Linked DNA regions of Neurospora crassa OR74A. The protein of the gene in region 1 purifies or fractionates together with the protein of each later gene. This does not show direct contact. Links are inferred from orthologs where the notes say so. Each region holds a gene or a part of one and is shown on either strand. Other genes may lie near its edges. The genes, in order: NCU03148 and NCU06226.

Region 1 (3,533 bases):
TCTTCATCTGCTGATGGGGGGCGGATGGCACCCTTACTTGACACGAGCGTGAGCGCGAAGCTGGAGGCTGCAGGATATGTCTTTCGGGAGTTTAGGGTTGAGACGACGAAGATGGAGTTTGCATTTTCTAGGAGGGCTATACTCCCTCCAAATAATTCCTCCTCTAAAGATATGACGGACATGGCAGACGTCAAGGACACAAAGCCAAAGAAGCTCATAGCTAGCAACCTTGCGACATCATGGACGCTCAACGGCCCGCGCGATGGGGAGGGTTTGGTGGGTGGCGTGTTGCAGGGCCGGAAGCAGTTTGATTTACGGGGAGCGAGTCTGGTCTCTCGGCGGAAGATGTGGACTTTGGCGAGGGAGGTTTGTTCGATGATGGCGCTCAACGACGATGGCGAGATCAAGCGAGTCCTGGGAAGTACGAACCTTGTGTATGATGAGATCAAGGATGGAAGTAGCTTGCTTGAGGGGAGACGGAGGGCAAAGGAGGAGACGAAAAGGGTGGCGTTGAAAGGGTGGGTAAGGAATACTAGGGGTGGAAGCTTTAAACTTGAGTAAATCAAAGGAGTGTTGAGGAACGATTCAGAGAAGGATTGCTGGGAGATATGTGGTCACTATACAAAGCGTGAATGAGTGACATTTCACTTGCGCACTTGAATGCACAGCATGTCTCGTCTCCACATCATCTTTGTCTCGTTGTCATATGGGTCACGATTCCTGATTCGTACTTCTCTCCAATGTTGGTTCGAGAGGCCAAGAAGCTTTTTCCATTTTCCAGCGCTTGGTCAGTTGTTTGGTTTTGGTTATGTACATCGTTTTGATGTAGAATGCGTTGTTCCTATAACCATCATTTCAACCGCAGTCTTTCTCTGGAAGAGTCCAGGAGCAAACCGAGATGGACGAAGACAATTAAACACGTCTTTCCGCCTCGTTGCCACATGTACCAAGTAACATCCTTTCTCTTTGAGCTGGAAGATGACATCAACATTGCCGCCCGAAGAGCATTTCCCAGCTTCACATAGATTCATAAGCCATCATGAGAAGACATTGAACAACTAAAGGACGGGTTGAAGAGACCCCGTGATTTCCCCAACGCAGCACGCCATGATAAATGTCACCGCAAATCTGAAGATAGGAAAGACCGCGTTTTGGGGGAATCAAACAGAGAGAGGGAGTATTTTATTTTTTTGTAATTTACTCGACCTTGCTCTCGAAGTTCTCGCCGGCAACGAGATCGGGGATATCATCCTCCTCAGCGTCCTTCTCGTTCTTCTGCATGTTCTGGTAGCTCTCGGCAAGCTTGCGGAGGGAAGCGAGAGAGTCGGGGCCGAGCTGGTTAAGGATACCGGGGACGAGCTCAGTGAGCTCCTTGTCCTCACCGTTGCCGTAGATGGCGAAAGTGTTGGCAGGGACAGCGGCGTGAACTGTGGTACAAGAAACACAACTTGTTAGCAGACAAGCCCCCAACCAACGTTTGAAGCTTAGCTGTCGCGATATGTCAAGAGGCCGCCTGACTAAGTAGGCCATAACACTCTTGCATACTGGCGATTTTGGACCAAGCCCAGTCAAGGGGGGTCCATATCGCGAAATTGAAACTGGGCGTATTGGTACGTACCCTTAGGGGCGGCGAAGTGGATGACGTTGCCGTCGCTCTTGAACATGTTCACCTCCTCGATGGCCTGGATGGGCTGAACATTGACCTTCTTGAGGGTGGCCTGGAGCTTCTTGTCATCGCCAGCGGAGCGGGCAGGCGCTCTCTTGACCTTTCTGCGGGGAGTACCCTTGCCACTATTTCATTTCGAAAAAAAAGTCCATTGTCAGAAATCAAAAGCCTCTCATTTTGTCTGCATCTGCACGTTGCTCATCGCCTTTCGCTGGGCTCGCGGGGGGAGGTTTTTTGTGTGGGAGACAATCGAGGGCGCGCGCGCGAAAGAATGGAGGGGTAATTCGGTGCTGGCTCGTTTTTTTGTGCGTGTTGTGTGCGAGAGCGATTGACGAGTGATATTTGAATTTCTACATACCCTAAAGCGGAGGGAAAGCACCTTTGTTAGCCTGTCGAACAGAACCTCATCCTACAGAGCGAAAACATGGGCGACGACATACCGATACGGGCCGAGGCGCCCAGCTTCTTCAAACGCTCCTGAACATCCGACATTTTTGCTGGCGGTTTGTTTGGTGATGAGAGGATGTGAGATTGATCTGTTGTGGGGAAAAAGCGAAAGGTGCGGGAGATCTCGGTGAACCTTAGAGCTCAGGGTTAGTTTGGCGCTGGGACCTCATCAAGGACCTGTGGGCGGTAGTGTGGGCTCTGGGCTTTGCGGGCTGGGGGGTTCATGCTGCTGGCTGAGAAGAGGGGTGATGTGTGAGCGTCGCGCGGCGGTGCTGGATGGGCAGTTGGCCCGTGCATACTTAAAATCTTGTCCTTCAAGAAACTTTCCACATACCTACACCCCCGCCGCCATGTTAAGCTTATACGGCATGGTTCGAAACGGTTAGGTAAACAACCCTACTACAGTCACCGGGAGTTACCTTTAATCTATATAGTGTTGATATTGAGCTTCATCCTCATCTGCTTTCGGAAGTTGAGGAATAGGTCTTGTACGCCGGGCCTCGTATGTCCAGCTAGCGGAACCACATCAAAATTCTACCCCACCTGCTTTGGTGCTCACCTTGACTTGTTTCCTGCTTACCGCGAAAGTAAACTCGCCTCACCTTGGGACTTGACATCATCGTCTGTTATGAGGTCCCTCATAGGATGATATCTGCCAACGTAGTTGTACATGGGACAGCTCGCTTCACTACATAGTTTAGGTTGGATGATGGTCCTATACCCTCCATTTCTGAAAAGCGAAGCAGCAAACAGTCTTTCCAGAGAACATCGTGATATTGCACAACTTCGAGACCATGGGACTTTGGAACCAAAAGCTAATCATCTCCGTCCTAAAAACCCAAGACCCTTTTGAACGCCTTCTCTTTCAATACCCATCTTAGAATACACAGTAGTTTTGTACAGAATCATGATGTTACAACCCAAACCGCCTACGTATGACCACTTCCCAACGTAAAGCTAGCCTAACCACTACTTCTCAAGCGGAAGACCGGCCTCACGCCTCATAGCCTCTTTCCTAGCCTTCACCTCATCCGCCAATGCCAGACTCTTCTGCACCGACGCCCGCTGCTGTCTCTCTTTTTCCTCGGCCTCGGCCTGAACCGTCCAGACTAGAAAAGTCAAAGTTAGCACGCTACTCATCTCACTTATCTCCATCTTCATCTTGCTTTGCCCATTCCCATCCCTCTTTCTTCCTATCCACATCCGCAAACAAATCCCCACCTCTATCCATCTCCTCCTCCATCCCAACAAAAACTCCAACAGAATTGCCAACAGACGGACAAAAAGGGACAGAGGGAAGAAAGCTTACTTGGCTTATCAGACTTGGAGTACTCCTTCAACTTGGTGACAAAGTCGTCAAACTCCTGCTGACGCTCGAACCGCCTCTCCAGACTCCTCTTCTGCAGCTCCGGGTTATACT
Region 2 (3,603 bases), on another chromosome or scaffold:
TCCCTCTACCATGACCAAATACAGCTTATTGCCCCTCGCTAAGCCTACCTACCACTTCCCTCTTTCCCCCCTCCCATAACCATAACCAAAACCATACCCTCTCTCTGTCCCCTCCCCCTTCCATATGCTTCTTCCCACATTACTCTACCTCCCAGTGGTTATGTACAACAGATAAACTAACATGCTACCTCCCACGTGTAGAGACCCACGCCCTTACCGATTCCTGCTGGAAGAAATGCGTCACCTCCCCCATCAAGACCAACCAGCTCGACAAGACCGAGGCCGTCTGCATGGCGGACTGCGTTGAGCGCTTCCTGGACGTCAACCTGACCATCATGGCCCACGTGCAAAAGATCACCAGGGGTGGCAGCAAGTAGGTCTCGCGCGCCGATAGGAAGGCGTGGGAGGATGCTTATCAGGAGGAGGAAAAAAGATGAGAACGGGACAAAAAGAAAAGAGGAGGCAGAGGAAGGAGGATGGCGAAAACGGTGACTTGTTTCCCTTGAGGAACTGGTTGTCCCGCGGGGCTGGCTGGCTACGTTTTTCGGTTGGCTGGTCCTGCTTGGTGGGCTTCTTGGGAGACTTGGAGGATGCGGCCGAGGTATCCGACGCTTGTTTTCATGGTGGTTCTGGCTGGGTCTGGTACACTCGGGCTTACTACGACGGAACGGGGGTACAGAGAAGCACCCTTTGCTAGGGAACCTTTGTTGATCCCTGCGATAGGGCTTGCGATTGAGGTTCTGGTCACAATTCTAAGAGACAGTCATTCGAGGAATTGTTACGGTTACGCCTGAAGGCTTGTACGATATATGTGATGGGACAGGGGAAGGATCAAAGGTAGAACTGGAAGGGAAAAGGGTTTATAGGGCATGGGAATTTGTTCAGGAACTTAGACAGTATGACAGGCGGTTCTTGTAGCATGATATGGGAGCGCGCGATAGCGGGATACTCATCTTCATCTTCAAACACAGACCCAATGCGCAGTGCAGGATAATTGGTTATAGAAGTGCAGATAACAATGCGACAATGAGTCCATGGTGATAGCAAGAATACAAGATGTCAGATTCAAGTCTTAGAGCAAGTAGATCTATGGCTTGCAAGGGAGGAGTTTGGATAATGGCCCATTTGGTCATGTCTGATGGAACGGGCAGAATAGTTATAAAAACTTTCATTTCCATGCCATGGACCAAACGCCAAAGGGGTATCAGACGCCGACTTCTTTTTCGTTAAACAGTAAAACCCATGTATCCCTTGAAGATAGTTTTTATCCCGAATCTTGTGTATTTCCCATAGCTATGAAATCGCTAGTTTAGACAAGGCCGAGCTTGGTGGCAGCAATGTCGAGGGCATCGACATCGGCAGTGAGGCGAGCGAAGGCCTTCTTGGAACCGTCAGGGCTGTGAGTGGAGTTAGCAACAAGAACCATATTAATGCCGGTCCATAGGGACCAAAACTAACCGGATCAGGGTGTTGATCTTGACGGTGTCAATGTCATAGAGCTTCTTGAGAGCCTGCTTGATCTGGGCCTTGTTGGCCTTGACATCGACGATGAAGACGAGGGTGTTCTGCTCCTCGATCTTCTTCAGGGCACCCTCGGTGTTGAGAGGGTGGACGATGACCTTGTGCTCATCGAGACGGGGCTCGTGAGGGATCGACTTGCGAGGGTACTTGGGAGCCCGAGACAGCTGAAGAGTCTTGGGGCGGTGGAAGGTGGTCGAGTATCTGACCTTGGTCTTCTTGTGCGAGTGCACCTAAACAGAGAAAAAGAACTCTAATCAGCATCAGAACGTCACCAGGGGGGAAGGGATCGCGAGTCGTCGCAAACTTACACCCTTGAGGGCAGCCTGGGCAGCCTTCTTGGCCTGAGCGCCCTTACCGGCCTTAGAGGCACCGCCTATCCATAGAGTCCCTCGTCAGCAAAAGCATTCGCCTGGAGCAAGATGATGCCAGAATCTTGTCCAAACTCGCAAAGTCTGCTGCTGCTTTGGTGCATCACCTCCGAATGCCATTGCGCGACACGGAGGATCCGCATTGTGCGCGGGGCGAGCATATTTGTCGAGCCGTTCAATTCATTCTTGGTGGAATCGTCGCTGGTGAGATTTTGAGGTTTCTTCAAGTACCTTTCTTGGTATCCTTAGGGGCCATTGCTGCGATTTCTGCTGTCGTCGGGCTAAGAAATCGGGATTCTCGCTGGTCGTTGTCGGAGAGGAGAAAGTTCACTTTTTGGCCAAAATTTGGGGGAGGAAAAAGTGTGCGCGCGGGATTTGTGTGGCTTGGTAGTGTGGCTGAAGTGGTACTGGCAGGGGTTGAGCTGCGCAAACTGGCGCAAACGGGCTCTGAACCACACCAGAATATCCACTTTCGCGAAATATGCTCCACAGTATTTTGAATCTCGACCTCCGATCATCACTTTATCGCTACGCACTCCGTCATTCAACCTTGAAGGTCATGATGCGCCCTCCGATCCAGCTTTCCTCCTTCTGCTCGTGGTCTGTCGGATGAAGTCGGTGCAGGACACCTTGGATTTTCACAGCTCCAAGCCTCGCTGTTCTGTGCCTATCACGACCTCCAGACAAGGACGTGGTGTAGTTGTCTTGCTAACTACAGTGTCACGAACCACCAATCGAAATCGAAAACCAATCTCACCGAGACGGATCACAGTATCGACAAGATCGACTATTTGCGGCTATATACTTGTTACAGCATAGCACGCGACGAAGGACTATGGCACCCAAGAAAGGAGTAAGCAAGAACCTTGCAGCTGGGCGTCCGCCCATGGCTACGCGACCTAAGAAAAAGGGAGTGGTCAAAAACCTGGCAGCAGGCCGTCCGCCCACGGTCACAAAGCCCAAGTCACTTGCGCGGAAAACCACGAAATCCATCATCAACAAACTCCATCTCCTAGAGAAGAGGAAGGTGCAGGCTATGAAGAAGAACGATAACACACAGGTCGCGGCAATTGAGGCGGAGATCGAGGCTTTGGGTGGTATCGAGAAATATCAGGAAGCAAGTCTCCAGGGGCAGAGACATGACCGAGGCGGCGACAGCTCCAACGTGCTCATGGAGTGGGTTGGGCCGTACCTCTCATCCGAGGAGTATAAGGAAGGCCGCTTGCGCATGCTGGAAGTTGGAGCGCTGAGTACAAAGAACGCATGTGCTCAAAGTAACCATTTCGACATCACTCGGATCGATCTCAACAGCCAAGAGCCTGGGATTCTTGAGCAGGACTTCATGGAGCGCCCGTTGCCGAAGGACGAGTCGGAGAAGTTTGACATCATCAGCCTTTCTTTGGTGCTCAACTTTGTCCCAGACCATAAGGACAGAGGCGAGATGCTGGTCCGCACGACACAATTTCTAACATCGCCGAAGCGGTTCTCCGGGACAACCGCTGCATTCTTTCCAAGTTTGTTCCTTGTGCTACCGGCCCCATGCGTCACCAACTCGCGATATCTGGATCAAGAGAGGTTAGCGGCTATTATGGAATCGATCGGGTACGAGATGGTGGAATCCAAGACAACCCAACGGCTGGTCTATTACCTGTGGAGGAGAACATCAGATCAGGTTGGAAACGACAGGCCGTTTCGCAAGGAAGAGCTACGTTCT

What was found.
Region 2: the proteins of NCU03148 (region 1) and NCU06226 purify together in Saccharomyces cerevisiae (affinity purification with western blotting; 3 studies listed by BioGRID, with this or other methods). This does not show direct contact. The link is inferred for Neurospora crassa OR74A from reciprocal best matches to the Saccharomyces cerevisiae genes EGD1 and RPL25.

What each region holds. Positions count from the first base shown.
Region 1 is NC_026501.1:4,725,064-4,728,596, reverse strand, and holds NCU03148 (nascent polypeptide-associated complex beta subunit), read right to left. Parts: upstream 2,272-3,533; 5' UTR 2,159-2,271; coding exon 2,103-2,158; intron 1,792-2,102; coding exon 1,619-1,791; intron 1,428-1,618; coding exon 1,198-1,427; 3' UTR 726-1,197; downstream 1-725. Other genes in the region: NCU03149 (tRNA-specific adenosine deaminase, variant), read left to right, coding at 1-561; NCU03147 (assembly factor cbp-4), read right to left, coding at 3,083-3,222, 3,423-3,533. UniProt on the Saccharomyces cerevisiae protein: Component of the nascent polypeptide-associated complex (NAC), a dynamic component of the ribosomal exit tunnel, protecting the emerging polypeptides from interaction with other cytoplasmic proteins to ensure appropriate nascent protein targeting.
Region 2 is NC_026503.1:1,964,842-1,968,444, forward strand, and holds NCU06226 (60S ribosomal protein L25), read right to left. Parts: upstream 2,322-3,603; 5' UTR 2,146-2,321; coding exon 2,121-2,145; intron 1,895-2,120; coding exon 1,830-1,894; intron 1,752-1,829; coding exon 1,459-1,751; intron 1,398-1,458; coding exon 1,310-1,397; 3' UTR 819-1,309; downstream 1-818. Other genes in the region: small zinc finger protein Tim8, read left to right, coding at 202-377; NCU06227 (hypothetical protein), read left to right, coding at 2,725-3,603. UniProt on the Saccharomyces cerevisiae protein: Component of the ribosome, a large ribonucleoprotein complex responsible for the synthesis of proteins in the cell.